Linked DNA regions of Sus scrofa. The protein of the gene in region 2 binds, or shares a complex with, the protein of the main gene of each other region. Links are inferred from orthologs where the notes say so. Each region holds a gene or a part of one and is shown on either strand. Other genes may lie near its edges. The genes, in order: TAF1B, TAF1A, TAF1D and ZNRD1.

Region 1 (6,966 bases), on a different chromosome or scaffold from region 2:
GACCAAGCTGTCTACACCGGGGCAGCAGAACATGTAAGGGATATTATGGGCTGTAATCAGCCACATCTAGACAAGGGGAAATTGCTCAGGACACATGACCTGCATTACTCAATACGTAAATTACAAGGGGGAAGAAAAGAGATAACGGGGGAATTTATGAACCCAGACGCTCAAGGGAGATCTCGACCACCTGCCAGGTATGGACTTTCCTCGGATTCTGAGTTATTTAAAAAATGACGCGACAATCAGGACAATCTAGACACTTGACGGACGCTTGACGTTAAGGAACTACCGCGAGTCTTTTACGTCTGATGAAGGAGAGGCTGCCGTGCGGGACCCGCACCCTCACCGCCTGCGAGTACAGGGGAAGGAGCGAGCGGGACGCGGGCGAAGCTGGGCTGGACACGCTGGCAGCTGCTGGAGTGGGGTGGCGATGGCTACGGGGGTCACTGCGCTGTGCTCGCTACTTTGGACGGTACTTGGGACGTCCCGCAACACAGGGGTTTTAAACCCGGTTCACCGTATCCAGGTACTGGGACTGTACACCGCACACGGCCCTAAATTCCTGAGAGAATTTTTCTGTTTGGACCACCGAGCTCTGTGGTGACCAAGGATAACGAACCACTCCTGGTTCTTTCATCTGTGAAACAGGAAAAAACAACGACATCTCCTCACAGGATGGCAGAGGACTGAATGAGAATATATAGTAAGCACTTCCCCAATGGTTGGCACACGGCAAGGGCTCAAAAATATTCACTTTCCCTACACGCCTTTAAAGGTGATTTTTTAAAATTTCCACTTAAAATCTTAAGGCTACTTTAATAATATGCCAAAAAAGCTATGGCCTACTATGTTTACTGCTAGGCGATGTAAAAGCCTCAATTGTTTCTGTGCTGATTGTTTTAATGGAAACAAAATATATAGGGATTCTCACAAAAAAAGAAGAGCCTCTTGGCTTTTCTTCTTCTCTAATTTCACTTTATTTTATTTTCTCTTTTGTCTTTTGTCTTTTTAGGGCCGCACCCATGGCATATGAAGGTTCCCAGGCTAGGGGTCCAATCGGAACTGCAGCTGCCGGCCTACACCACAGCCACAGCCACTGGGATCCGAGCCACGTCTGTGACCTACACCATAGCTCACGGCAACACTGGATCCTTAACCCACTGAGTGAGGCCAGGACTCGAACCCACATCCTCATGGTTGCTAGTCGGGTTTGTTAACCACCGAGCCACAACAGGAACTCCCTTCTTATCTAATTTTAAATTTTAGCTATATTAAGAGAGATTCTTTCAGACAGTATTATCCAAGGAGGGGAAAATGACGTTTCCCTTACGTAGGGACTCTAGGGAAAGCTCTACTTTTACAAGAGAAAGATAAGAAAAGGTATACAAAGCATTTGCTAACGTAAGGACTTTTCATTTCTAAGCTGAATCAATAATAGTATCTTTTAGGGTATACATTCCTTATCATAAACTCAGAAAATTATCCTAAAGTTGTAAGCGATAAAATCAAATATACGATAATTTACATTGATTAGGAAAGTTAGCTCCACCTCAGACAAGAAGGATCAACCGCCCGGCGGGTCTGGAGGCTCATGCAGCCTCCCCCTCAGTTCTCGAGGCTTCGGGGTTCTCACAGTTACTCTGCAGTACAGTGTCTGTCTCTTCCGAACCCTCAAAATGAGCCCTTCAGCGTGACAAGGTTCTCCACATAGCTGAAGATCTGCTCTCTTAAGCACCAAAACCTTTCGTTTTAACCATTTGGGGTGGAAATCTTTAAAAACTGAGTTATACATTATTTGGTTATCTTAGAGCACATTCAACATGTTCTTTTAAAGCGCTTATATTACATGGTGACAAGTTATCCACTTTTATAGTGGTAAGAAGAACAAACCCCACGAGTGCACACAATTTGGGACCATGCTCCACCCTCGAACTGGGACTCGGTCAGGCTTGCTTGGTTCTGGGCAGTGATCCCGTGTCTCTGAAGGGCCATCTGAATTCTTTGGTCTGCTTCTCTGCCAGTCCCTACACTGTCTGTCAAAGGAGTAGCACCACATTTGCTGTCAGGACGCTTATCAGCAGAGTAGCTCTCAGTCTCTCTCCTACTCAGTTCCTCTTGAAGAGGAAACTGGAAATCAGACAGCTCAGACACACAGACACACACACATACACACACACACACACACCCCTCTGGGCAGTGTGTGCGGGCTCCGAGTTAGGGGCTAAGGGGTATCCTGAGAAAAGCGTATAGTTTTAGTCATGGACTTGGTGACCTTTTTACTAAGATTGGCTAAACCCTTTTTTGCTCACCCTGTGGTTCTAGGCTGTAGTCTAAATAGACAAGGTGGCGGTCCCCGCTGTAGCACAATGGGTTAAGGAGCCGACAACAGCTCTGCAGCCACTCAGGCTGCTGCTGAGGCGCAGGTTTGATCCCCAGCCTGGTGCAGTGGGTTAAGGATCTGGCCCTGCTGCAGCTGTGCCGTAGGTGCAGTGGGTTAAGAATCTGGCCCAGCTGCAGCTCAGATTCGATCCCTGGCCCAGGAACTTCCACATGCTGCGGGTGTGGCCCAAATAAAAAATAAGTAGATTAAAAATAAATAGGCAAAGGTAACCGGACAGCTTGGGTGCTCAAAGTTACGGCATCGCTGGTGCCGTGCTCCGCCGTCAAATGCACGCAGGGAAAAACATCTCGACAATTTCACCTCTGACTCCATCAATGTCTCTTTATAACTAACCGTCTTCTATTACAGTATTAAACCCATGAAGAACATCTAAACTTTGGATCATGTAAAAAGCATGAAGGTGTCGCCCCCACCCCAACTCCTCCAGAACCAGCTCTGCAGGCAGAAGAGCAACAGCGCCTCAGGTCCCAACTTCCCGGTCCTATGGGGCGCGGTGGGGATGGGGACGGAGCCCGCCAGCCAGCATCATAGCTTTTCCCTTCCACTTGATGAAACCGTAAATCTTGAAGAAGCCACTGCACTGACCCCTCGAAGGACTGTATCGCCCTCAGATGCAGAGCTGACCCGGGGGTTGGGATTCTGGCCTTTCGCTGCTGCTGTTAAGACAGGGACACTCCTTAACCACTCCAGACTCCGCTAAACTTTTTTTAAGCAGTAAACTGTAATGCGGATGACTTCATTTCATTGTCTTCTATTGTGTTTTCTACACTGTACTCATCTTCGATTGATATTCAACTCCGGAAGTTAAATTCTAATAAACATCATTTTGTTAAATCACGGTGATCATTTACTGCGCATTTACTGTGTGACAGACACACCCAACTCGTTTAACTCTCCTAAAACCATACGAGGAAGCTTCTGTCTTCCATTCATTCACTCGACAAACACTTAGGAGTTTCTGTTGGGCTCAGTGGTGAACGAACCCAACTAGGACCCATAAGGACGCAGGTTTGATCCCTGGCCTTGCTCGGTGAGTTAAGGAACCAGTGTTGCCGGGAGCTGTGGTGCAGGTCATAGACGCAGCTTGGATCCTGTGTGGCTGTGGCTGTGCTGTAGGCCGGCAGCTGCAGCTCTGATTTGACCCCTTGCCTGGGAACCTCCATGTGCATCGGGGACAGCCCTAAAAAGACAAAAACCAACCAACCAACCGTAGTGAGCACCTACTATGTGCCAAGCCCTGTTCTGTGGGAAGGCAGATGAATACACGGAATAAATACATAATCACACAACACATTCCCTCGTGACGCGAGCTATAAGGAAAAAGAAAGAACAAGCAAGGGGGACAGAGAGTGATGAGGTGTGTGTGTGGGTGTGTGGGCGTGGGTGAGGGTGACGGCTGGTGATATTTCAGACATGATGGTTAAGAAAGGCCTCTCTGAAGAAGTGAAATCTGAGCAAAAACCTGCAAGTGAGCCCATGTAGAGACAGAGCAGAAGAGCGTTCCAGGCTGAAGGTATGACATGTGCCCAGACCCGCCATGGAGTGTGTCAGGCAAGTTCAGGAAGAGCCAGGAGGCTGGTGTGAACAGGGGTGGTGAGCAAGAGAAGAGGGGGGCAGGGGAGGTCAGAGAACAGAGGGGGTCTCCCGACTTCACTCTGAAATGAGACGGGAGCCGCCAGGGGTTTTGAGAAGAGGAGCCAGGTCAGCATCGCCCCTCGCTTCCCAATCAGGGCAGCAGAGCTGGGGAGCTGGAGCACAGCTTGCGCACCACCAGCAGGGCTGGGATGCGGGCAGCTGCATTCGCCAGCGCATCCCCTGCACGACTGTGGGGACCTGCCCTGGGGACGATGCCTGCGTCGATGTGTAAGGAGGTCGGTGTAAAGACCTAAGGTCTCAATGAGAAATGTCTTTATGATCTAAAACTTCATCCTGCTTTGCTGACGTATCATTGACACACAAGCTATGTAAGTTTAAGGCTATAACAGGATGATTTTTTTTTTTAAATCATTTTGGCTGCACCTGCAGCATGGGAAAGTTTCTGGGCCAGGGATTGAACCCACGCCACAGCAGTGACCTGAGCCACTGCAGTGACAACGCCAGATTTTAAGCTGCTGAGCTGCAAGGGAACGCCACAACAGGATGATTTGATAGTGTCTATACTGTGAAATGAGTACCACAACAATCAAAGGCAGTTAACACCTCCATCCCTAACACTCATAAACGAGGCTCAGTGTGTAATTCTGATGGTTTTGATTATAAGCTCACCATCTTCTAATCCCATCAAACAACCTACCTGGCTCTCATTACAGCCTGACTCCTTTAGAAGATATCCAGCCTATTTTTTTTAATTAGCAAAGAATACTACTTCACGCCAAACGAAAGATTTCGTCTTTTTTTTTAAATCCTGTCATTTCTTTCTTTTTCTTTTCTTTTTTTTTTTTTTTAGGGCACACCCGTGGCATATGGAGGTTCCCAGGCTAGGGGTCGAATCGGAGCTACAGCTGCTGGCCTACACCACAGCCACAGCAATGCTGGATCCCAGCCGCGTCTGTGACCTACACCACAGCTCGTGGTAATGCAGGATCCTTAACCCACTGATCGAGGCCAAGGCTTGAACCCATCATAGCCTCATGGATGCTAGTCAGATTTGTTTCCACTGAGCTAGATGGGTGCCCCCATCCCGTGCTTTTTTTTTTTTTGGTCTTTTTGCTATTTCTTGGGCCGTTCCCGCGGCATACGGAGGTTACCAGGCTAGGGGTCCAATCGGAGCTGTAGCCCCCGGCCTACACCACAGCTACAGCCACTCGGGATCTGAGCCGCGTCTGCGACCTACACTCCAGCTCACACTCCAGCTCACGGCAACGCCAGATCGTTAACCCATTGAGCAAGGGCAGGGACTGAACCCGCAACCTCATGGTTCCTAGTCGGATTCGTTAACCACTGCGCCACGATGGGCGCTCCTACTCCGGGATTTCTAAGAGCATCACACACACCTTCTACAGAATTTCTGGGTACTCAGCCAGTACAGGGAATTCTTGGTTGTCAGTGACTGGCCTTTCTGCTTCAGGACCCCCTGGAGGCTGTGTTCATGGAAACAGGTTCTATCACTGTCCTCTGCTGTCCAGTTGAACTGAAAACTTGAAGGGCTTCTTTTTTCAACACTGGGCGTGGAATCAATCAGTGTGCTAAATTGTTTTTGTAGACTCACCACCATTTCTGGAAGGAAGGGAAAAAAAGAAAAGGAATGAAATAAAAACTAATGTCAAATCACAAATAAAGACTGCAGATTACCTGACAGTAAGGTACCAGAGCTGGCGTCTTAGTTTTGACAAATGTACAGCAAATGAAAGGCAAGAGGGTAACACTGAGAGGAAACGGGAACTGGACGAGGGGCGCCCCGAAAGTCAACTTGGAAAGGTTTCAAACAGTAAATTTTATGCCATCTATATTTTAACACAAGTCTTAAAAAGAATGAGAACGACAACCAAAAGCAGTTCTCCAAATGAAGGGTCTGAAAGTCACAGACACACAGCATTTCAGATTTTGTGGGAACTTAACTTCCGTTTGGAGTGAGACACTGATCCTGAACTAGACACTGAAATTTCTTTCGGAGGTGGCGTTCCTTGGGAGTGCGCTTTGGCGCCTTGTTAACGCAGTGGGGAAGCACGTCTGTGTCTCCCTTCAGGTCAAGACACCCAGCTTTTCCGCCACTGTGCTGCTGCTCGGCGGCGACGGGAGGAAGTCCGACTCACCTCTTCTTTTATAGACCACTGGTTTGTCGATGGCTGAGTGGTAGAGTGGCCTTTCACTTTTCCATAGATACCTGTGAACGCAGAAAACCACTTGGAGCAGGGCGGAGAAGAGATGACCCCAACACGCTTACGACGACCCCTGAAACTCCTGAGACTCGGGTAGAAGGACCTCCTGCAGGACACAGGTCTCTACAGAGGGTACGACCCAGAGGTAAGCAAGGAGCACCGCAGGAGGCAGCAGTCGCAGCCGACAGAAGGCCCTGCTCCGCCCCAAAGCCTCCCAGAGGCCACACGATCCCCAAGAAGCCATTCGTTACATAAAACCGCAGCAGCGGTGTCCCTCCCCGTGAAATCCCCTTGCTGTCCTCTCAAAGTGAAGCCGCCTGAGACATAACCGCTGCCCCCGGCCCTGGCCGCGCGGCGGCCTGCAGATGCTGCCGACCTGTCAGCACCCCGGAGCGGGCACCTCTCGGCGGCCGAGGGGCAATCACCTAACAGGCGGGGCCTTCCCGAAAACCCTGAGTGAGCTGGACTTGAACGAACCACACAACACGCCAACTGTTCAGAGGGCTTGCCGTTTGTGATTCGTTCAAATACCTTTCCGTTACGTATTTTACCAAATAATAAAAGTGACAATATACCCAAGGCAAAAAAAAAATCTCTAAAAATACAGACGTTCCCTAAAGATTCTAACCCCACTCCCTAGATAAACCCACTGTTACAAATTCCTCACGAATACCTAATACAGACAGATTCTCTTATGGATTTATAGTAAACCCCTGTACGGGTGGCAACCATGCCACAGTCAAG
Region 2 (6,966 bases):
TGTACAAATTATGAAATCTGAAAGGTTGAGTAGTATATAGAAATTAGGAGCCCTCATAGACACCTGCAGTTCTTTCTGTTGTTGCTGCGGTGAAGCAGAGGAGTTTTGGGGGCAGATATTCGTGAACACCGGTGATAAATGTGTGTCATTTCTAAGCACTGAAGACAGTGGTGCCGATTGCTGTCTGATGTGATAATAGCATCGCCTAACACCTTGCTTGCATAGTCACTGCACCTGTAGTACAAAGGTGTTTTTGGAGTTGAGGTTTTCAGGTTCCCAAGACAGGGGCTGTTTAGCGTGAGCTACTGTAGCTCTGTCACATAGAAATGGATGGAGGTTGTCAGCAAACTGAACCATAGCAGTTGAAGAAAGCTGCAGGAACCTTTTTGTCAGCTGAGTGTGCTATATGGCTGATAACAGGTTTCCACTCTGTATGCACAGGAGGGTACAGTGTACACAGGAGGGTAAGGCTGGCAAAGTACAATGAACTTGGAACATCTTAAATGCATTTCCTGGCAAATTTTCACACATTAGGCTGCTTTTTAAAACAAGTGTTTCGGGAGTTCCTGTCATGGCTCAGTGGTTAACAAATCCAACTAAGAACCATGAGGTTGCGGGTTCAGTCCCTGGCCTTGCTCAGTGGGTTAAGGATCCGGTGTTGCTGTGAGCTATGGTGTAGGTTGCAGACACAGCTCAGATCTTGTGTTGCTGTGGCTGTGGGGTAGGCTGGTGGCTACAGCTCCAATTCAACCCCTAGCCTGGGAACCTCCATATGCTAAGGAAGCGGCCCAAGAAATGGCAAAAAGACAAAAAAAAAAAAAAAATTTAAGTGTTTCATAGTCAATGAGTTTGTAATAGAATATTGTTTCAATGTGATCATGCATACATAGATCATTTATTTTTATTGAGGTACTTTAAATTGGGGTAAAAGAGAGATTTGCTCCCATGCAAAAGAAGAGCTCCAAATTCTCAGCCAGAGTTCTGGTCCTCTGGGCAGAAAATATTTTAATTAAAATGTGTTCAGAGCTGATGAAAGATTTTGAATTGGAGTTCCAAGTATAGACTAACTATAGTCAACAGTCGCTGACCTTGGAGGATTCTTAAGAACCATCCACTTGCTCGCATGTGGTGGATGCTAACGATGGGGCCAGAGCAGTGAGGAAGTCAATGTTAATTGAACCTGAACTTTCTGAATTTACTAGTCTTCCTCCAATACTAATTAAAAATGTTACTTTCAATATGTAGCTTAACCTCCTACCTTCTTTAGACCACTAACTTAAAAATGACACTGTTATAGTTACCTGATAATTTAATCAACACAAGATTTTTTTTTTTTTTTTGGTTAAGATATGTTGGTTTTACTGGGTGAAGTACAGTAAAACATTGACAGTAGTGGTATCTAGGGAAAGAAATCATAGTTTGTTTTTTAATGTTATAATCAGAAAAACATAGCTTTCTTAGATATTGGCGAAGGCAAGGATTTTACATTTTTGTTGGTAATTTCTGTTTTGACAGATTATTTGGAGGCTTGGAAGTGAAATTCTTTATTATCATCCTAATAGCAGTGTGGAGACGTTCAATACCTTTGCTGACCGGATGAAAAACATTGGCGTCATGAATTACTTGAAGGTGAGAAAGGAGGCTTGGTGGATTTGCACCTGCAGTGTTCACTTGCGGAAGGTGCTGGTCTGAGTGCTGAGACAGTAACAGCGTAAAAAGCATAGAAGGTTGAGACAGTTGGATCACTAGGAGAAGCTGAAACTGGAATTTTTATATTGCCCTCCCCCAGGGTGTGACGCTCCGATCAAGGATTGACTTTCCCTCTGAACCAGTGCCCTTCTCCCACAGCCCTTGTTCAGGTGTTTTCGCTGCATTTATGTAGCATGGATAAAAGAGGATGTATTGATTACCTGCTGTGGGCTAAGTGAGGTCTTAGCTTGTGAGCCGATGCCATCTCATTGAATTCCCCATAATGCCCTTTGAAAGGGTTAATAGTTATCATTCCCTATGAACATGAGACACACTAGGGGAGAGTAATTTCCTCAGGCTTATTTAGCTTTAAAGTAGTGTTTGACCAGAACTCTGTCTTCAGAGCCCTGTTCCTTTCACACTGCCTGCTGTGTGTGTTTTTATGTACTTTGGCTCACATTTACATAATCATCTTTTCATGTGTCTTTTTGCTAGATTGAAATTTTTGATAATGGGGGCAGTGTTACTCCATTGTGTGTGTCCTCTCAAGGTCTTACATAGCTCAGCGTATATCGTATGTTTACTGAGTTTTGGACCCTGGTTGTGTAATGGCTGTGAGCTGAGATGGTGGGCTTCTCAACCGTTGCAGATCTCCTTACAACATGCATTGTACCTTCTGCATCATGGCATGCTTGAGGACGCCAACAGAAATCTCAGCCAGGCAGAGACGTGGCGATACGGTGAAAAGTCATCTTCCCAGGAAGTGTTAATTAACCTTATTCAGGCCTATAAAGGGCTTTTGCAGTATTACACGTGGTCTAAAAAGAAGATGGAGCTGTCTCAGCTTGGTGAGTGCATATGAGTGAACTTTTCACTCGGTGATAGGGCTGAACCTGGGAGGGAGGCCGTCTTAAGGAGCAGTCTCTCTCCCCTGCCCCGCAGCCTGGCTTTATCCAGGGTGTGCAGAGAACAGACATTTCTGTGATCTAAAATTCTTGACCCCCCTTTATAATCTTTCTGGTATTTCAAAAAAACTATTCAGACATGAATCAGATGATTCACAGATTAAGTTCATGACCATTTTATTACTTTTTATTAAAATATAGTGGATTTACAGTGTTGTGCTCGTTTCTTTTGTACAGCAAAGTGACTTCATTATGCACGCACATGCGTTCTTTTTCTTCAGTACTCCTTCAGTCGTGCTCTGTCCCAGGACACTGGGTAGAGCGCCTCGTGCTGTCCAGCAGGACCTCGTTGTTGTTTATCCCTCCTGTGCATTTCCCAGCCCCAAACTCCCCATCCATCCCTCTCCCTCTCCCCCTCAGCAAACACCAGTCTGTTCTCTGTGTCTGTGAGTTTGTTTTCTGTCCTGTAGATAGGTTCATTTGTGCCAGATATAAGTGATACCATATGGTATTTGTCTTTCTGACTGACTTCACAGTGTAAGAATCTCTAGTTACATCCATGTGGCTGCAAATGGCATTATTTTGTCCTTTTTTATAGCTGAGTAGTATTCCACTGTGTATATGTACCACATCTTCTTAATCCATTCATCTGTTGATGGACATTTAGATTGTTTCCAAGTTTTGGCTGTTGTGAATAGTGCTGCAGTGAACATAGGGGTGCATGGATCCCTTTGAATCATTGTTTTGTCCGGGTGTGTGTGACCATGAACATGTGCTAAGAGTTAGCTTAGGATTTTTCCTTGTTGCCGTGGCTGCTGCTGGTTGGGTTTGACTACAGTTGGGTGTCTGGGAACCCCTTTCCACAGTAAATCCACACCTAACTTATACTTAGGAATCTGCCTTTTTTCCTTTCAAGATTTATTTTTTATTTTTATTATTTATTTATTTATTTATTTATTTTTCCCTCTGTACAGCATGGGGATCAAGTTACTCTTACATGTATACATTTTTCCCCCTCTTTGTTCTGTTGCAATATGAGTATCTAGACATAGGTCTCAATGCTACTCAGCAGGCTCTCCTTATAAATCTATTCTAAGTCGAATCTGATAAACCCCAAGCTCCCGATCCCTCCCACTCCCTCCCTCTCCCATCAGGCAGCCACGAGTGTATTCTCCAAGACCATGATTTTCTTTTCTGTGGAAAGGTTCCTTTGTGCCGTATATTAGATTCCAGATATAAGTGATATCATATGGTATTTGTCTTTCTTTCTGACTTACTTCACTCAGTATGAGAGTCTCTAGTTCCATCCATGTTGCTGCAAATGGCATTATGTCATCCTTTTTCGTGGCTGAGTAGTATTCCATTGTGTATATATACCACATCTTCTTAATCCAATCATCTATTGATGGACGTTTGGGTTGTTTCCATGTCCTGGCTATTGTGAATGGTGCTGCAATGAACATGCAGGTGCATGTGTCTCTTTTAAGTAGAGTTTTATCTGGATATGTGCCCAAGAGTGGGATAAGATTTATTTTTGATGTTTCATACCTACTTTCCCATTATCACTTCATTTCCATATATGTGTATGTATATATTTGTTTTGCTTTTAAATTGAAATATAGTTGATTTACAGTGTGTTAATTTCTGCTGTATAGTAAAGTGGTTCAATTATAATATATAAATATACACATTCTTTTCTATATTCTTTTCCATTATGATTTATCTCAGACTATTGAATATAGCTCCCTGTGCTCTACACTAGGACCTTGTTGTTGATCTGTTTTATATATAATCGTTGGCATTTGCTAACCCCAGACTCTCCCAACTCCTCCCCGTCGGCAGTCACAAGTCTGTTCTCTATGTTGATGAGTCTGTTTGTGTTTTGGTTCATTTGTGTCATATTGTATTTCATTTTTTTATTTTTTGCTTTTTTGGGCCACACGCACAGCATATGGAGGTTCTCAGGCTAGGGGTCGAATTGGAGCTACAAGCTGCCGGCCTACACCACAGCCACAGGCACACCAGATCTGAGGCATGCCTGTGACCTACACCATAGCTCCTGGCAATGCTGGATCCTTAACCCACTGGCCAGAGATCGAACCCATGTCCTCATGGATACTAATTAGGCTGAGCCATGACAGGAACTCCCCATTTGTGTCATATTTTAAATTCCACAAATAAGTGCTATCACACGGTGTTTGTCTTTCTTTTTCTGACTCTGATACTGTATCTTTCTTCATTCATCTTGTAGCTTGATTTCTTCCTTTCCAATTGGACATTGTTTATATTATTTTCTTGCCGAGTTGCCCTGGCTAGAACCTCCATTACAGTGGTGAATGAAAGTGGCAAAGAAAGGACGGTCTTTTGCATGAAGCCTTTCCCTGTTAATTGTGACATTCAATATGGGTTTTTTTCACAAGAAACCTTTCATCAGATTGAAAAGTTTCTTCTATTCCTACTTGTTGAGTATTTTTATCACGAAGCGTTATTACATTTTGTCAAATGCATTTTCTGCAAAAGTTGAGATGGTTGTGAGGTTTTTGTCATTATTCTATTGATTTGGAATATTGTAGTACTTGACTCGGGTGTTAAACAACCTGGAATAGGCCTCACTCGGCATGGTATAAAATCCTGTTTATTTGTTGCTAGGTTCAGTTTGCTAGTGTTTTGTTGGGTTTTTAAAAATCTATGTTTGTAAGAGATACTAGTCTTTTGTTTTCTTGTGTTGTCTTTGATGTTGGTATCAGGGTAATATTGGTCTCACAAAATAAGCTGAGAAGTGTTTTTTTCTCTTTTTTGGGTCATTGAGTTTGCGAAGAATTAGGGCTGTATTTTAAGTGTTTATTAGCATTCACCCGTGAGGCCATCAGAGTCTGAGCTTTTCTTGTGGGTCGCTTGTCAGTTACTGATTCAGCTAAAGTCCTCAGTGCTGAATGACTTTAATAGTTTGTTTCTCTCTGCACAGATAAGGAAGATTATGCTTTCAACGCGGAGTCCCAGACGCTGCTCAACCACAGCTGGAAGACGTCTGTAAACCTGTGTGCGTTGATTCAGACTCCTGGAGTTTGGGACCCGTTTGTGAAGAGTTACGTAGAGGTAAGTGGACTTTTCATAAATGTCTATAAATCTTTGTGCTTTGATTCAAATTGCTGGAGTTTGGGACGCATTTGTGAAGAGTTATGTGGAGGTAAGTGGACTTTTCATAAATGTCTATAAATCTTTGTGCTTTGATTCAAATTGCTGGAGTTCAGGACGCATTTGTGAAGAGTTACGTGGAGGTAAGTAGACTTCTCATAGTTTCACCAGTTTCATTCTGTTATAAGCTTTATCGTTATTGATTAGAAGGCAACTAATGGAGAAAATGGTTTAAAAAAAGGGAATATGATGCCACTTTTTTTTTGTCTGCATAATTTTTATTTTACCAAAGTACCTTATATTTTCTCTTACCAACATGCTGTACATGTGACGGTATTTTTTTCACCCCTGGATAGCATGTCGTGGCCAAATACAGTTGTCTCTCAGTAGCCGTGGATGCTCAGTCTTTATGTGTGCAGTGTTTGCATATAACCTATGCACATCCTCCTGTTGACTTTAAATCACCTCTAAGAGTACTTATAAAACATGTAATAAATTGTAAATGCTATGTAAATAGTTGCCTGTGTACAGCGCATTCAAATTTTGCATTTTGAAAGTTTCTGAATTTTTTTTTTTTCTGAATCTTTTCCATCTGTGGTTGGTTGAACCCTAAAATGAGGTCTGAGAGGATTCAGGGCCTGTGGCTGATGCTGACTCTGTTTATAAAGTTATTAGCCTTCTAGTTGTAAGTGTCACTTCTGTGTTCTTCTTGAGCTTCTGAGAAAAGCAGAAAGTTCTCTTATGATTTGGTGGGGTATTGCTGGGAAGGAGCTAAAACTCTGGAACTACGTCACAAATATGAGACGAAGAGTGGCTTTCAGAGGCTCTTAAGGATGTCCTGCCATCTCAGAGTCACTGTGAAAGGACAGAGCGCGCTGGCCCTGGGCGGTGGGAGTAGTTCATCAAAATAATTTGCTTTTTGGCTTTCTTGCTGCCCGGCCGTCTTGGCAGCTGCTTGTGGTTGGGGGCGTCACGCACCTAAGGCAGGAAGATGGTGGCCACAAAGAAGATGAAAAAGTTGCTGGAGTCAATCAACGCTCGGCTCCAGCTCGTGATGAAAAGTGCCAAGTACGTGCTGGGGTACAAGCAGAACTCCGAATGACCAGACAGGGCAAAACGGAACTGGCCATTCTCGCCAGCAGCTGCCCAGCCTCGAGGAAATCTGAAATCGAATGTCACGCCATGTTGGCCACAACTGGTGTCCATCACTGCAGTGGCAAGAATATCGAACTGGGCA
Region 3 (7,733 bases), on a different chromosome or scaffold from region 2:
GCAAGTTCACTGGCAGTCTGTTACATCAGAAGGGAAAAGTAGCATATTGGGAACATGATTAATACACCACAGTAGGTTATATATTTAAAGACTATTGCAACTGATAAAAAGTTAAAGCAAAACTGTGCAAGTCTTTGGGCACCATACCTACTTAAATCTTGAATTACCAAATTCGTTTTCATTCTGTGAAGTTGGTATCTCATCAAGAATCTTTCAGTGGTGAATTTAGGGTTTTGTTTTTTTTTTTTTTTTTTTGAGGGGCAGAATTTTGGACTCTCATTAATTAGAGTACAGAATAGATACTAAAAAAAGGAAAATGAGTTCCGTATTGAAAGTGCTGTTGTATAAATCTTAGAATGTTTGTATTTAAAATTTTTTTCCTTTGAATAATTTAGAAAGCTCAGAGTTAGTATTGTATTTACCTCCAACAAGTTCCTCTAGACTTGGCACATGAAAAGAATACTCAGCACAAGCCATCTTCTTTCTTCCTTAGGTGCGAGGATATACAAAGTAAAGCAGTTGTTGGCTAATTATCACAAGAGTTCACAGTGCACCAAGCATCAACAGCTGCTGCTCTGGAAATCAAAGAATTCAGTTATATAAAGCGGGCAAAAGGGCATTTAGGTGTCTGCCTCATAGAAAGGCAACCACAGCTTCTAGTGTTTAATATTTCAAGGGAGAAATGCCTTTACCACTGAGCCACGATGGAAATGCCCTCAAAAATATTTTTGAATTGAAATAGCTATAATTGTTCAGGAATGAGCCATTTTAACTTTTTCTTTTGAAATAATTGCAGATGGACAGTAAATACATACAAATAATTCCTCTATATTCTTCATTCATATTTTCCAAATGTTAACAATTTATATTTCCTTTATCAGAAACCAGGAAGTACTAATTAAGAACATGTCAAAATCTGCTCAGTAAATACCATGTTTATTTAAAATGAGGATAATAAAAGCACTCTAGACATTTCTACTTAAAGTAGGAATAATAAAGGCTCAAGTTTAAATTAAATACAGTCCTAATTTTACACCCTTTACAAGCTTTCAAAGAATGTCAGGATTTTATTTTCTTTCCTCATCAAAATAGAAATGAATTCCAATCCTGGGAGGCTACAATCTGAATAACTGGTTTAGAAATGCAAGCTCACAACCCAGAAAGCACCCAGCCACAGAAGACAGAGATGTAGTGTGTGTATAAGTGTGTTTCTGTGTGAGTGGGAGGTAGGAGGAGGAAGTTGGAGTTGGAGTGATGAAAGAAAGGGGTTAGAAAAGTCTTAATATAAACCCAGAGTGGCTCCGGAAGGACAGCTTTGGGCCACATGGAGGCAAACAATATTTTGTAGATTCCGTAGCTGGGACTCAGTGGTCTAGAAGCAGGGTCTAGAGAAGGGAAGAAAGAAAATAGGAGGCAGTTGGAAAAACGAAGCTGCAGAGACAATGCCTATGGGGCAGACCAACAATGACAACCAAACTGAGAACTATTTATTAACTGTATTCAATAAACCAGACACTACGTTAGACACTTTACACTCTCTCAAGACCTCTCACAACAAGGTATTATCCTTCTCATTTTACAAGAGGAAATAGGCCAGAGAGAATATATTATTTACTTCAGATCACTCAGCTATTAAGTGGCAGAAACAGAATTCAAAACCACCTCTAGTCCGGTGTAAAGTCAGAACCAACACATTATGCCATATCATGAACTGATAAAGGAAAGACACATTGCAGCTCACCATGAGGGAGAATTGTACAGAAGGATCCTATAGCACTCAGTATAACTGTCATCATCTGTTTGCTTTGTTTCCTTCCCTTAGACTACGATTTCTTTGAAGATAGGACTGGATACCAGCTCAGCCTTAATTTTTTTTATTGAGCATTTACAATATTCCACACGCAGCAGGTTCTAGGACAGGGCTGGCTTCATGCATGTGCAACTCCTATAGTCACACAGGACCATGTGCTCAGAGTAGCACTTGGTTTATGCTCTGTTGTCACCATCTTTCAATTCCTAACTTTACATTTGAACCCTTTAAGATGGAAAGGACCGTGGAGTATGTGCAATGCTTCTGCAGATGACTCAAACATTCTGATGTCTGTATTTAAAGCTAGCATTGGACAATATAAAGAGTGGTAAAACTCATGCTATTGATTCAAATGTTTAATTTTTCTTTACCTAGAATGACAATAAATAGCAAATTAATGCTATTAATTAAAACACCATGACAAGTCAAAAGAGATGCTACAGAAGAAAGGGGACAGCTTGTACTTCAGTAACTTTAACGGCATTTTCCCCCAGATTTTTGAACAAGACCCTGCATTTTCTTTCTTTCTTAAAATTTTATGGAGTTCCTGTTGTGGTGCAGTGGAAATGAACCCGACTAGTATCCATGAGGACTCAGGTTTTGATCCCTGGCCTCACTCAGTGGGTTGGGGATCCAGCAGATGTGGCTTGGATCCCATGTTGCTGCAGCTGTGGTGTAGGCTGGCAGCTGTAGCTCTGATTGGATCCCTAGCTTGGGAACTTACATATGCTGCACCTGCAGCCCTAAAAAACATAAATAAAATAGAATAAAATTTTATTGGGGTATATGTGATTTACCATGTTTATTAGCTTCAGGTTTACAGCAAAGTGAATCAGTTATGCATATAAAATACATGCATTTTCATTTTGTACTGAGCTTCACAAACTGCATATGCAGGCCTGCCTAGGAATATAGCAGTGACTAAGACATGTGATACCTGTCCTGGAGCTGACAGTACTTCATAATGCCTAGAAAACCAGACTTTCTGCGCCTGGAATTTAGAACAACATTTAGAGAAAAATTGAGTAAAGAAACCTGATTACCTTCCAGGTCTGTCCTATCCCGAGATGACACTAACCACAAATTAACACGAGACAGCTTTCCTGGTTTTATTATATGATACAAGAGGTCTGAAAGTAGACAAATCAGGACAGCTCATTCCTTTTTTGTAACTACTTCGGGGGAAAAAATTGCCACCAAAACTAAACTAGTTTAACTTCTACCTTAACACTCATTTACCGCTCAGGGAACTAAGAGGGCTAAAAAGAAAAAAAAAAAAGGCCCCCGCTGGCATCTCTTGCGATGTGTTAACCACCTCCTGGGAGGCTGACCCTTAGTTCCAAAAGAAAGACTGAGTTAACAAAACAAGTCCGAAGGTGGAGAGGGAACTGAGTGCGTAACTGGATAACAATGGCTTCTAGTACAAAGGTTACACATTTCGATTCTCAGTCACAGCATGATCCTCTCACAATTTTACACAGAAGAGATTTTTGAAGGCAAAAGTAGACACACACACAAACACACACACCCGGAATCAGACTTTGGAAAGTCGGAGGACAGCTCAGCAAAGGGAGACCACTGGAGTCAAAGCAGGAGAAGTGGCTCTTCCTCGCAGTTCACATTCATTCCGTTCCCCTGCCCCCACAATTTCTTTTTCATAGTTTGCCCAAACGTTCTTGACTATTCCATTTACCTTACCGGTTCAGGACGCGTACACCAGAAGCCTGGCCTGGCCTCAGTCAAGTCCGCCTCCCCTGGGTTAAAAAGCTCAGGTCCCGCCCACTCTAAATCGCCCCGCCCCTCGCGGCAGCCAATATGGAGCGCCGCGTCTGGTTTTCTCCTATCTCTCTGTTATTTCCTGCAGTCAAATTGTTATCGCGAGACTTCGGGGCCACTATTAGCTGGGACGCGGGACTAGCCCAGCCTTTTCTTCCGCGCGTTTGTGGAGGTTGGGTGTTTTCTGGGCCTGCGCGCCCAACGCGGGTTTCTGAGGCCGGGGCTGCAACCGAGGACGCCAACGGAGACCCGTGCGCAGAGCGGGCACAGGTTGGTATAAGCCGTCCGCGGTCTGGACGGATAGGAAAGAGGACTTGGGCGCCGGGGCCTTGTGGGCGAAGGAGGGGGAGGGCCTGGCGCTTTTCACTTTTCCCGGGACGCCTGCGCGGCTCAGCGGGAGCGGAGGGCTCGCGGTGATTGTGGGCTCTGCTCTGGGCGGCAGGACTCACAGGTACAGGCTAAGCGCGTGGGCCGTTATCGGAGTTGTGGGTGTTGAAGTGCAAGTGTATTGAAGCGAGTGCACGTTTTCTCAATTAGTGGTGGTTAAGTGCGAGGTAACCGTTACCGACGCCATTTTCCTTGCACGAGGTTAGGCACTTCTGGAGACATTCGCCCCAAGGTCGCACTAAGTAAGAGTTGAAGGGATTTTGTTAAAGCTGCTAAAGAGCACTGCCTGGCTCCGTGGCCCCTTGTTGCAGAATCCCGGAACAGGAAGCGATAGGAATGCTTTCTAGTTCCCGAAAGTTTTTTTTTCTTATTTTTATCCCCACACCCGCAGCATATGGAAGTTCCCAGGCTAGAGGTTGAACCGGAGCTACAGCTGCCGGCCTACACTACAGCCATGCAGAATCCGATTTGGATCTGTGACCCAAGCAGCTTGCAGCAACGCGGGATCGTTGAGTGAGGCCAGGGATTGAACCCGCATCCTCACGGAGACAGCGTCCCGTCCTTAACCCACTGAGCCACAATAGAAACTCTTGAAAAACATTTTTGAGTTAAGCTTACTTAATTTTGATAGTGTGCTCTGTAATTATTTTAAACTTAATGTCAGGTATTCCATCATTGCCATTGGATCCAGTTTTTGTTGAATTTCTTTTTTAGGCTGTTTTCATGATTTATTTCTTAGGTTAACGCAGTTTTGAAAACTGCAATAAAACACTATGAAATTATCACACGAGTCCATGAGACATTGTGAATTTAAGATCTAGGTGATCTTATTGATTTCTTAGATTTCAAATACTGCTGCTGAAGGATTTCTTTCATCATTACTCATGTGTCATTACTAAGAATGTTAGACTAAGAACACCACAAAAAAATGAAGAATGATGACATCCTCATAAGGAAATGAAACAGAACAAAATAAGACATCTTTAATACTTTTCCCAAACTACTGTAAAATCTTCCAAGGAGATTTTTTTTTAAAGGAGACAAAGGGCACCATTTATTGTAGTCTGTACATTGAAAAGTGAGAATTCAGAACTTTGGGTTAACACCCATAGTAGCAAAGAAGTAATTTATCAAGGAAGGGGTTTCACAGTAACTTAAAATCTAGTGAGGGAAAGAGGCCATAAATGAAAATTGCAGACCTGAAGGTTAGGTTTAGGTAAGTCCAAATAATTTTTCTGGGTATACTGAGGCCAAAGGCTGCCTTTGTGGGACTTAATCTTTGTTATGCAAGAGATTTCTTGGTTCCCACCACTGTTGGCAAATGGCTTTTTGGCCATTAATTGAACATTACTATTTGTAACTACATGACTGTATGGCTAAGGGTAAAAATTACATTTTTACTGTTAGGGAAAAGAAGTTTGACACTCCTGTAGGAAATCTGGAATCTTGTTCTATAGGATGGATTAAGTAGGCACAACTGAAAGAACCCATGAATAAAATCTTTAGATGTTAGAATTAGACAGTTGTATATGAGAATATTAAAGGCCTTACATTCATTTTTGTCTTAATTTTCGTAATTGACTACATCAATATCTGCATTACTCTGATCCTAGCTGTTTTGTTGGCATTTATTTGTTCAGGGAAACTACATCACATCTACCAGATTTCATATGGTCAGAAGTCTGTTTAAAGCAAAGGACAAGTGACAATTTTGAGAGGAGCTTGAAGACTATATATCAAGATGGATTCTCACAATTGTACAACAGTTTCTGATTCAGCTTTGGAAATTGAGAATCAAAGGTAAGTGTTTTTCTAAAAAAATGTCTACATAAAAAATATGCACAACTGTGAGTTAAGTTTTATTTGGGGCAAAATGAGGATTTAAGTCTAGGAGGCAGCATCTCAAGTAACCCAGAGAGAACTCTTGCAGGGTGACAAGGGGAGGGTCCTGTAACGAAGGGCAGATAACCTCAAGTTAAGGAATTCAGCACATGTCTTTGTATGAGAAGATGCCAAGGTCTGGGTTCACTGAAATAACGTCTTTGATGTGCACCTCAGCTGTCTCTAGCCAGTATCCCCTGTTTTTCCATCCTGAGTTTCCTCAGGGCTCACTATATGGTGTGGCTGCTGGCTGGCAGGTGTTTCTTGCCTGTGTTCGCTCAGGGCTCACCAGCTCACCATCGGAGGTGGCTGAAATCACTGATGACTGACATCCTTTGCTTACTGATAGAGCAGGCAGTGTTTTTATTTCTCAGTTAACTACCACCAGGTTTTCCTGGGAACAGACTAGGTGATAATGTTTACTGTATTGGAATTGCTGTGATAGCATGCATCATTGTAGATAATGAATAGTTTGTAAGGTAATTTTTAAGAATTGGAAAAAAAGGAAAACCCAGTTTCCACAGACTTTCGCTTTAACTACTTTGGAATAGTGGGACGTGTTTGTAACCCAGGGAATCAAATCAGGAGTGTATTCTCTGGGCCAAATTGGTATTTTCCTGACTAAATCATTCTGTTGTGTAACAAGAGAATGGATATTCTGATATTTCACATTATTAAGGATGCTGGTTTATGTATGATGGAGATAACCAGTTACCTAATCCATTGATCTCACTGGGAAATCAAATCAGCATTTCTAGTATATTCACATCAGGTATCTACTAGGGCTACTCTTTTTACTTAGAGGAGACTTTGTCTTATTTAGTGGAGGCTCTAGCAGTCAACAAGGCTGCCTTTGGAACTTAGAAGATCATTTTTTGGTAAGTGCTTGGCATTATGCCACATGGCATGGGCCATTTGAGGTAGAGTGGTCAGAATTAAGTGGTTGGCTGCTACTGAGACCATTTTTTCATCTGGAGTATGTTTTCCTGCTTTGATTTGTAAAAATACTCATAATAAGCATTGGTAATATATGAGTGCAATTCCCCCCCGCCCTTTTGAGGGGGGGAGTTCCCCGGTGTTCCCTTATCTTAGCAGGTAAAGATCTGGTCCTTGGCACTGGAACTTTTGTGCATGCTGCAGGTACAACCCCAAAAAAACTTTTCCTTTTTTTTTTTTCCCCTAGTGACAGCTCTTCCTCTGGAAGCAGCTTATTTAAAACTCAGTGTGTTCCTAATCCACCTAATCCACCTAAACAGAGGCAAAGAAACCCTATTAGAAAATATATTTACTCACCTGTAAGTATTGATACAGAAGATTCATCTAGTGACTCATCTATAGAACCAAGACCATTGACTTTAAAAGCTATTTTTGAAAGATTCAAAAGAAAGAAACGTAAGAAGAAGAAGAAGAAGAAGAAATACAAGCCAACTGGAAGATCAAGGGGAAGACCAAAAGGAAGGAAAAACACTAGAGTCTCACAAATAAATAAGATAAAATTTAAAGACAAAGGGCCTGGTTTCCCATTTTTAGAAGCAGAAAATGGAAGAAAACCATTACCTTGGAGAAAAATTTTAACCTTTGAGGTGAGTTGTCATTTCATATATGCTGATAACATAGTTTAAAATGTCTGAAATGAGTTGTTTGGATAAACCTGGGACATAGAATCTGTAACTTTGATGATACTTTTCTATATTTGGCTGTACTGCCAATTAAGTTCACTTATGCTTCTGGGTGGAACCTTCACTGGTATGTTAGTTGAATATACTGAATGTGAAGTGCTTCAAGGCTGTTTTTTTGGATTTTTTTGTTTGTTTTGTTTTTGTCTTTTTGTCTTTTTAGGGCCACACCCTGGCATATGGAGGTATCCAGGCTAGGGGTT
Region 4 (7,624 bases), on a different chromosome or scaffold from region 2:
ATCTGTAAGATATAAAAGCAAAGGTAGATTAGAATATGGAAGATGTCAGAACAAATCTGCACACATCCTGCCTGGACCAACAGATTCAATTGGTTTGGCCAAGCCCAAGGGTACTTCCCTCAGAAAGAGAAAACTTGGTAATAGGAAGACTACAGCAGGACCATTTCCCACTGGGAAACTACTGCATTCCTATAGTGAAGAATAATGAATACTCTTTTAATAAGAACCTATAGGAGTTCCCGTTGTGGCGCAGGAGAAACGAATCCAACTAGGAACCATGAGGTTGTGAGTTCGATCCCTGGCCTTGCTCAGTGGGTTAAAGGATCTGGTGTTGCTATGAGCTGTGGTGTAGTCACAGATTTGGCTCGGATCTGGCATTACTATGGCTGTGGCATAGGCTGGCAGCTGTAACTCCAATTGGACCCATAGCCTGGGAACCACCATAGGCCATGGATGCAACCCTAAAAAGTAAAAAAAAAAAAAAAAAAAAAAAAGAACCTATAAATATCAGCATATACAGTCATCCCTCAGTATCTTTGAAACCCTCAATGTCCCTTGGTTCAAGGACACCCTCCTCCCCCCCAGATATCAAAATCCATGTGTTAGTGTCATATAAGATGACATAGTATTTTCAGATACCCTGAGCACATCCTCTTGTATACCTTAAATTATCTCTCCTTTACTTGTAATACCTACTACAATGGAAAAATTTTGTAAATAGTTGCAAATACAATGTAAGTAGTAAGTACAACATAAATACTATGCAAATAGTTGCCAGTGCAGGGCAAATTCAAGTTTTGAATTTTTTTTTTTAATCTTCTTAGATTTTTTTTTTTTTAATCTTCCACCCACAGTTGGTTGAATCTGTGGATGGGGAATCCTCATATACAGAGGGCCAACTGTAATCCTTTCATATAAACTAACAGCATACTTCTCCTGTGGATTCAAGGCGAACCATTCTGAATCTTGCACCAGGGATTGGGAGAAGGAAGAGACAGGCTTCTTGGTGAAGCAATGCCCAAGCCCATCTCTGACATATTGCTCAGTCCCATAGCTTCTGTTGTCTTCTGAGATAATTCTAGGCTTTGGTATTATCAGTTCATTCTCTTTGTGCAGTTTCTGGAGCCGGGCCCTCTCTGCCTCTATCACAACATACAGCATCTCTACCCTATAATCTTTCGTTCTGATATTCTGCTATTTGATGGTGAAATTCTGTTCTTATTTGATCAACCACCAGTCTGCTTGTCTGCTTTACTCTGCCAATCATCCTTTACCCTAAATCCATTATGAGGCCATTCCCTGTTGACCTCCTTGGGATGAAAATTTGTGGTTACTCTGGGTTTATTTATAGGACAGGCTGATGGCAACACAAGTGAGGACTATCAGGTTTTGTGTGTCATCTCTGGTCTACTGTGAGGTCGTAGCTAAGCCACTGAGGATGCCTGGCATTTCATCTCTACGCCTTTATTTATACAAGTTATGGTTTAGAGCATGGGCTTTGGAGCCTGACAGGCCTATGCTTGAATTTTAATTCCCAGGTGTGTGATTCAGGGCAAGTAACAATCTCTCTCTAAACAGTTTCCTCGTTGAAAAAATGTACCTCTTGGGGTTATAAAGAATAAGTGACAATTAGATTAAAGAGCCTGGCACAATGCTTAAAATACAGTAAGGTCTCAATAAATGGCAGTTGTCTATCCTCCATAGGTCAAGCTCCAGACTATTAAGTCTGCCCAGTCTACTCTATGTATCAGTGAGGTTTTGGGTTTTTGTTTTTTGGCACCCCGCAGCATATGGAGTTCCTGGGCCGAGAACAGATCTGAGCCACAGTTGCAACCTAAGCCCCAGCTGAGGCAAAGCTGGGTCCTTAATCCATGGTGCCAGGCCAGGGATTGAACATTTGTCCCAGTGTTCCCAAGACGCTGCCCATCCCATTTTGCCATAGAGTGGAACTCCTGTATCAGTGATTTTTGCCTTCCGATGAATACAAAGTAAAAAATAGAAGTAAAAAATATAACTTCTACAATTTATTTGAAAATCAGTCATGGGAGTTCCTGTTGTGGTGCAGCAGAAACAAATCCAACTAAGAACCATGAGGTTGCGGGTTTGATCCCTGGCCTCGATTAGTGGGTTAAGGATCTGGCCTTGCCCTGAGCTGTGGTGTAGGTCACAGACATGGCTCAGATCCTATGTTGCTGTGGCTGTGCCATAGGTGGGCAGCTGTAGCTCTGATTCAACCCCTAGCCTGGGAACCTTCATATCCTGTAAGTGCAGCCCTAAAAAGCAAAAAAAAGCAAAAACAAAAAACAAAACAAAACAAACAAACAAACAAACAAACAAAAGGAAAAACAAAAGAACAAAACGAAACATAGCTCAAGCAACAGCAAAGCCAGATCGTTAACCCACTGAGCGAGGCCAGAGATCGAACCCACAACCTCATCGTTTCTAGTCGGATTTGTTTCTGCTGTGCCACAACATGAACTCAAAATACAAAAAACATTTTGATGCTGAAATTTAAACATATAAAGAGTGGGAACTATGATTTTTAATCTACAAATACCATGATCTCTCTCTTTTTTCTTTTTAAGGCTGCACCTGTGGTATATGGAAGTTCCCAAGCTAGGGTCTGAATCAAAGCTGCAACTGTGATCTACACTATAGACAAGGCAACAGCCACCAAAGCACATGAGCCATACCGGGTCCTGCAGAGAGCCCTTGCTTGGGTCGCAAGGCCCAAAGAATGCTAGAATTACTCCCAGAATATTTCGCTTTGTTTTCTACCACTGTCCAACCGCCACAGTGAAGTGCAGATTCAGGAACCGCTGGAGTTTGCAGTTCTCCAGTCCAAATAAATAAATTAGTACTCTATAAGGTTGGTCCGACTTCTCAGGAGAAACGCTCCCCGCGACTGGGTCCTGGTAAAATTCGAGACCAATAAAATAAACATCCCAGGACTGAGTCCTGAAGGGAAAAAATAACCTGAGGCAGGCGCAGCTTCGTCACCTATTTTCGTATCCAACGTAACAGAACCAGGCTGAAGGGGGCGCCACAATCTTCCTTCAGAACCGCTCCTCTCCCTCTCCAGGCTCTCGGGATCACAGTTGCAATTAATTATGACGTCACAGCCAATCGAGAGCCGGGACGCGTGGACTCTCTAGCCCGCCACGCGCTCGCTGCTCGGTTGCCCGCGCGGAGCCGGCGCTCTAGCCCGTGAAGTTGACTTGCTCCTCTCGCCTGCCCCAGGAAAGACCCCCAGCGTAGTTGTACCCGACGCGGGATAGGGATTCCGGAAGTTTGGGCTCCTTAGTCACAGAGGCACAAGGTATGCGTAGGAAGAAATCTCGGGTTCTGCATGCTTACGTCCAGGGACAGAATAGGCATGACCTCTCTGGGGAAGGGGCTACTCTCTTAATAAACTCCTCATCCCCTTCCCAGCCCTCGACCACCCGTCTGTCATGGACCTCGCCCGCACATCCTCTAGCTTTCAGTCGGACTTGGATTTCTGTCCGGATTGCGGCTCGGTCCTGCCTCTGCCCGGGACTCAGGATGCGGTCATTTGTACTCGCTGTGGCTTCTCCATCAACGTGCGGGGTGAGGTGCTGCTACGCCGCGGCTGGGGCGGAGGAGGGCCCATGGGGATCTCAAGATCGATTGGATTAAAGACGGGGACCCGAAAGCGCAGGATCAGGCACTTATACTTTTGGTCGGCACGAAACCTGATGGGTAGAATATAGCTTCCTGGCCTAACAGAGAGGGATTAGTGTGGTGTCAGCCCCCTCCGCTGTCTCCACAACCAATTCTTACTGCCCGCGCAGACTTTGAGGGGAAGGTTGTGAAGACCTCAGTTGTGTTCCAGAAAGTGGGGACAGCCATGCCTATGTCGATGGAGGAAGGACCTGAGTTCCAGGGACCCGTGGTAAGTGAATCACGTCGAGGACTGGCCCTGTAAAGAGGGTGGGAACGAAACGGAGGGCTCAGATCTGGAGAGTTTTGTACACAACAGGGAAGAAGAGTCTTTAAAACAGTAGTGACTGGGGAGAGTTTTCTTGTGGTGCAGCCGGGTGTTAAGGATCTGGCCGGCATTGTCACTACAGCGGTTTAGGTCGCTTCTGTGGCACGGGTTCGATCCTCGGCCTGGAAACTTACACGTACTGCAGGTGCAGCAAAACAAAAACCAGCAGTATCTGAGGAGTGTGGTAGCTTGATGTCTGTGAGAAGTAGTGGGAATTATTAACCTACCAGTTGCTTCCCAGGTTGACAGGCGCTGTCCTCGTTGTGGTCATGAGGGAATGGCATACCACACCAGACAGATGCGCTCAGCCGATGAAGGGCAGACTGTCTTCTACACCTGTACCAACTGCAAGTGCGTATCCTTTCCCTCCATTCTGCCCCTTCTGGGTCTCTTTGCTGCCAAAATCCCGTGATTTAATTTAAATCCAGTGGTTTAATTTTTGTACTTTTTGGACTGGTCGCATCCTTCATTTCTGTACAGTTCAAGTAATAGGTTTGTGATCGTTTTCTTCCTTCCTTCCATCCTTTCTTTCTTTCTTCCTTCCTTTCTTTCTTTCTTTCTCTCTCTCTCTCTCTTTCTTTCTTTCTTCCTTCCTTCCTTCTTTCCTTCCTTCCTTCCCTCCCTCCTTCCTTCCTTCCTTCCTTCTTAGGGCTGCACCCCGTGGCATATGGAGATTCCCAGGCTAGGGGTCACATCCGAGCTGTAGCCTCTGGCCTCACCACAGCAACAGCAACGCCAGATCACAGCAACACCGGATCCCAGCTGCGTCCACAACTTACACCGCAGCTCACAACAATGCCAGAGCCTTAACCCACTGAGTGAGGCCAGGGATTGAACCACATGGTTCCTAGTCGGATTTGCTTGTGCTGCTGTGCCACGATGGGAAGTTCTGTGGTCTTTTTAAATTTTAAATAATTACTCTTTTCCTATCTTTTTATACCCAGTGAATTAAACCTTTTACAATAGTTAAAAGGAAATGAGTATTGGTTTGTGATCAGTGTGTTATGTTGGACTCCTCCACTGCCCTCAAGGTAGTTTTACTTTGGTGAGAGTCAGTCATGGATGATTTAAAAAACATGGGTTCTTTATTTTTATTTCTTTATTTTTTTTTGTCTTTTTGCCTTTTCTAGGGCCGCTTCCCGAGGCATATGGAGGTTCTCAGGCTAGGGTCTAATCAGAGCTGCAGCCGCTGGCCGACGCCACAGCCACAGCAATGTGGGATCCGAGCCAAGACTGCAACCTACACCACAGCTCACAGCAATGCCAGATCCTTAACCCACCGAGCAGCCAGGGATCGAACCCACAACCTCATGGTTTCTAGTCGGATTCGTTAACCACTGCACCACGACGAGAACTCCCAGAACATGGGTTCTTTAAAACATAGTTTTAAGAATTCCTCTTTGTCTTTGGTGTCCTTCAATTTCACTACAATCTATCAAGATGTGGCTTTCTTTTATTTATCCTGTTTGGGATGTGTTGGGCCTTCCAACAGTGAGGGTTGACCTTTTTTCCCCCATCAACCTTGGAAAATTATCAGCTGTTATCACACTGAATATTTCCCTCATATGCTCAGTTCTCATATTCTTAGAGTTCTAACTGATTAGCTCTTTATTAGGCCTTATCTTCTATCCTCCATTTCTCTCACCCTGTCTCCCATATTTTCCATCTCTTTTCTCTTTATGCTGTTTCTGGATAGATTTTTTAGTTCTGTTTGATTTTTTTGTGGCCATGCCGGCAACATGTGGATATTCCTGGGCCAGGGATCAAACCCTAGCCCCTGCAGTGACAGTGCTGGACTTTAACCCACTGCACCACAAGGGAAATCCTGATTATTTTTCAAATCATCTTAGTTATTTTTAATAATTCCCAATTCCTTAATCATATTTTAAGTGGTTCTTTTTATTCATAAAACATATTACATGTAAACATTAAACATGATATTTATGTTCTATGTCTGTTAATTCTCAAACCCACTGTTTTTGTGGGTCTGATGCTGCCATCTGTTATTTCTGCTGACTCCCTCATGGTGCTGCTTTTGTTTTGTGCTTTTTTTACTATAAGCTCAGATTTTTAAAAGTTTGAACTATGGGAATTCTTTGAGGCTTGTGGTGAATGCTGTATATTCAGCATTTGCGTTTACTGTTTAGCTGCCTTGAGGCAGTACCAAGGCGGAATCACTAAGTTAATTCTCAGCTTTGGGAGCACCTAGGTAACATGGATTTTGGCTGCAAATCCAGTATAAAGGCCAGGTTATGGTTAGAAATTCTCAGGGGACTTTTTTTTCCTCCCTCTACCTAGTGAGACAGATTTCTCTTCAGCAGAGAAAATTTTTTTTTTTTTTCTTGCTCACTTTTATACAGAAGGGTAAGCCCTTTGGGGAGCTCAGACTTATGCAGACAGAGTATCTCCTATCAATATTGCAGGTTCATCTCTGGTTCTTCCATGTGGCTGTCAAAGCAGCAAGGGCTTGGGAGCTGGGAGGAGGATGGTTTCCTTTTTTCGTCTGTGCCAGCAGCATATGAAGTTCCTGGGCCAGGGGTTGAACCCATAGCGCAGTTGTGACCCTGGTCACAGCTTCAGCAAGAGGGGATTCTTAACCCACTGAGCCATCAGGGAACACCCAGGGCTTCAGTTTTAACTTACCTTCTAGGTTTCTGGTTTTACATCACTTCACCCAATGTGAAGATTGCCTTTACTTTCTTGACATCTCATTAATGGATTAAAATATTTATGGTTATATCTTTTGAGAGCATTTTTTCCCCAGTCTGACCTATTTATTTTCTAACTTTTTTTTAATGGTATTATTTTTTCTGCGTATTTTTTTCTTGGGCCGCTCCTGCGGCATATGGAGATTCCCAGGCTAGGGGTCCAATCGGAGCTGCAACCACCGGCCCATGCCAGAGCCACAGCAATGCGGGATCCGAGCGCGTCTGCAACCTACACCACATTTCACGGCAACGCCGGATTCCTAACCCACTGAGCAAGGCCAGGGATCAAACCGGCAACCTCATGGTTCCTAGTGGAGTCGTTAACCACTACGCCACGACGGGAACTCTCTAACTTTTTTTTAATGAGCATAAGTTTTTAATTTTTATGAGGTCTGGTTTATCTTTTTTTTTTTTTTCTTTTCTTTTATGGCGAGTGCTTTTTTGTTTTCTAAGAGATCTTGGCATCCTTCATAATTTGCAAGCTAATTTCTTAAAATTTATTTGTCTTTTTTTTGGGGGGGGTGCACCCATGGCATATTGAAGTTCCCAGGCTAGGGGGAAAATCAGAGCTGCAGCTTCTGACTTACACCACAGCCACAGCAATGCCAGATCTGAGCCACATCTGTGACTTATACCACAGCTCATGGCAACACTGGATCCTGAACCCACTGAGTGAGGCCAGGGATCAAACCTGCGTCCTTATGGATACTAGTCCGATTTGTAACTGCTGAGCAATGACAGGAACTCCAATCCCAGCATTTTTAGTTGTCTTGAATTTGTGGAGGGTTGTTTAGAAGAGCTAGTCTTCCACTGTCATAAATGAATCCTTTTTTGATTATTTAACTGTCTCACCTTACACTGCTAGACTCTCTTCCTTTGGCCAAATATAACAAGTTCTTTCGTTCTC

What was found.
Region 1: TAF1A (region 2) and TAF1B share a complex: the UniProt entries of both Homo sapiens proteins name them as parts of the transcription factor SL1/TIF-IB complex. The link is inferred for Sus scrofa from reciprocal best matches to the Homo sapiens genes TAF1A and TAF1B.
Region 3: TAF1A (region 2) and TAF1D share a complex: the UniProt entries of both Homo sapiens proteins name them as parts of the transcription factor SL1/TIF-IB complex. The link is inferred for Sus scrofa from reciprocal best matches to the Homo sapiens genes TAF1A and TAF1D.
Region 4: TAF1A (region 2) and ZNRD1 share a complex: the UniProt entries of both Homo sapiens proteins name them as parts of the pol I pre-initiation complex. The link is inferred for Sus scrofa from reciprocal best matches to the Homo sapiens genes TAF1A and POLR1H.

The regions. Positions count from the first base shown.
Region 1 is NC_010445.4:126,528,696-126,535,661, forward strand, and holds part of TAF1B (TATA box-binding protein-associated factor RNA polymerase I subunit B), read right to left. Parts: intron 6,228-6,966; coding exon 6,157-6,227; intron 5,621-6,156; coding exon 5,398-5,620; intron 1-5,397. UniProt on the Homo sapiens protein: Component of RNA polymerase I core factor complex that acts as a GTF2B/TFIIB-like factor and plays a key role in multiple steps during transcription initiation such as pre-initiation complex (PIC) assembly and postpolymerase recruitment events in polymerase I (Pol I) transcription.
Region 2 is NC_010452.4:11,351,318-11,358,283, reverse strand, and holds part of TAF1A (TATA box-binding protein-associated factor RNA polymerase I subunit A), read left to right. Parts: intron 1-1,515; coding exon 1,516-1,629; intron 1,630-2,338; coding exon 2,339-2,537; intron 2,538-5,559; coding exon 5,560-5,690; intron 5,691-5,697; exon of another isoform or gene 5,698-6,966. UniProt on the Homo sapiens protein: Component of the transcription factor SL1/TIF-IB complex, which is involved in the assembly of the PIC (pre-initiation complex) during RNA polymerase I-dependent transcription.
Region 3 is NC_010451.4:26,163,255-26,170,987, reverse strand, and holds the start of TAF1D (TATA box-binding protein-associated factor RNA polymerase I subunit D), read left to right. Parts: upstream 1-3,705; 5' UTR 3,706-3,856; intron 3,857-5,613; 5' UTR 5,614-5,714; coding exon 5,715-5,773; intron 5,774-7,037; coding exon 7,038-7,437; intron 7,438-7,733. Other genes in the region: C9H11orf54 (ester hydrolase C11orf54 homolog), read right to left, coding at 423-477. UniProt on the Homo sapiens protein: Component of the transcription factor SL1/TIF-IB complex, which is involved in the assembly of the PIC (preinitiation complex) during RNA polymerase I-dependent transcription.
Region 4 is NC_010449.5:22,623,685-22,631,308, forward strand, and holds the start of ZNRD1 (DNA-directed RNA polymerase I subunit RPA12), read left to right. Parts: upstream 1-3,186; 5' UTR 3,187-3,319; intron 3,320-3,432; 5' UTR 3,433-3,452; coding exon 3,453-3,588; intron 3,589-3,812; coding exon 3,813-3,913; intron 3,914-4,250; coding exon 4,251-4,360; intron 4,361-7,624. UniProt on the Homo sapiens protein: Core component of RNA polymerase I (Pol I), a DNA-dependent RNA polymerase which synthesizes ribosomal RNA precursors using the four ribonucleoside triphosphates as substrates. Can mediate Pol I proofreading of the nascent RNA transcript.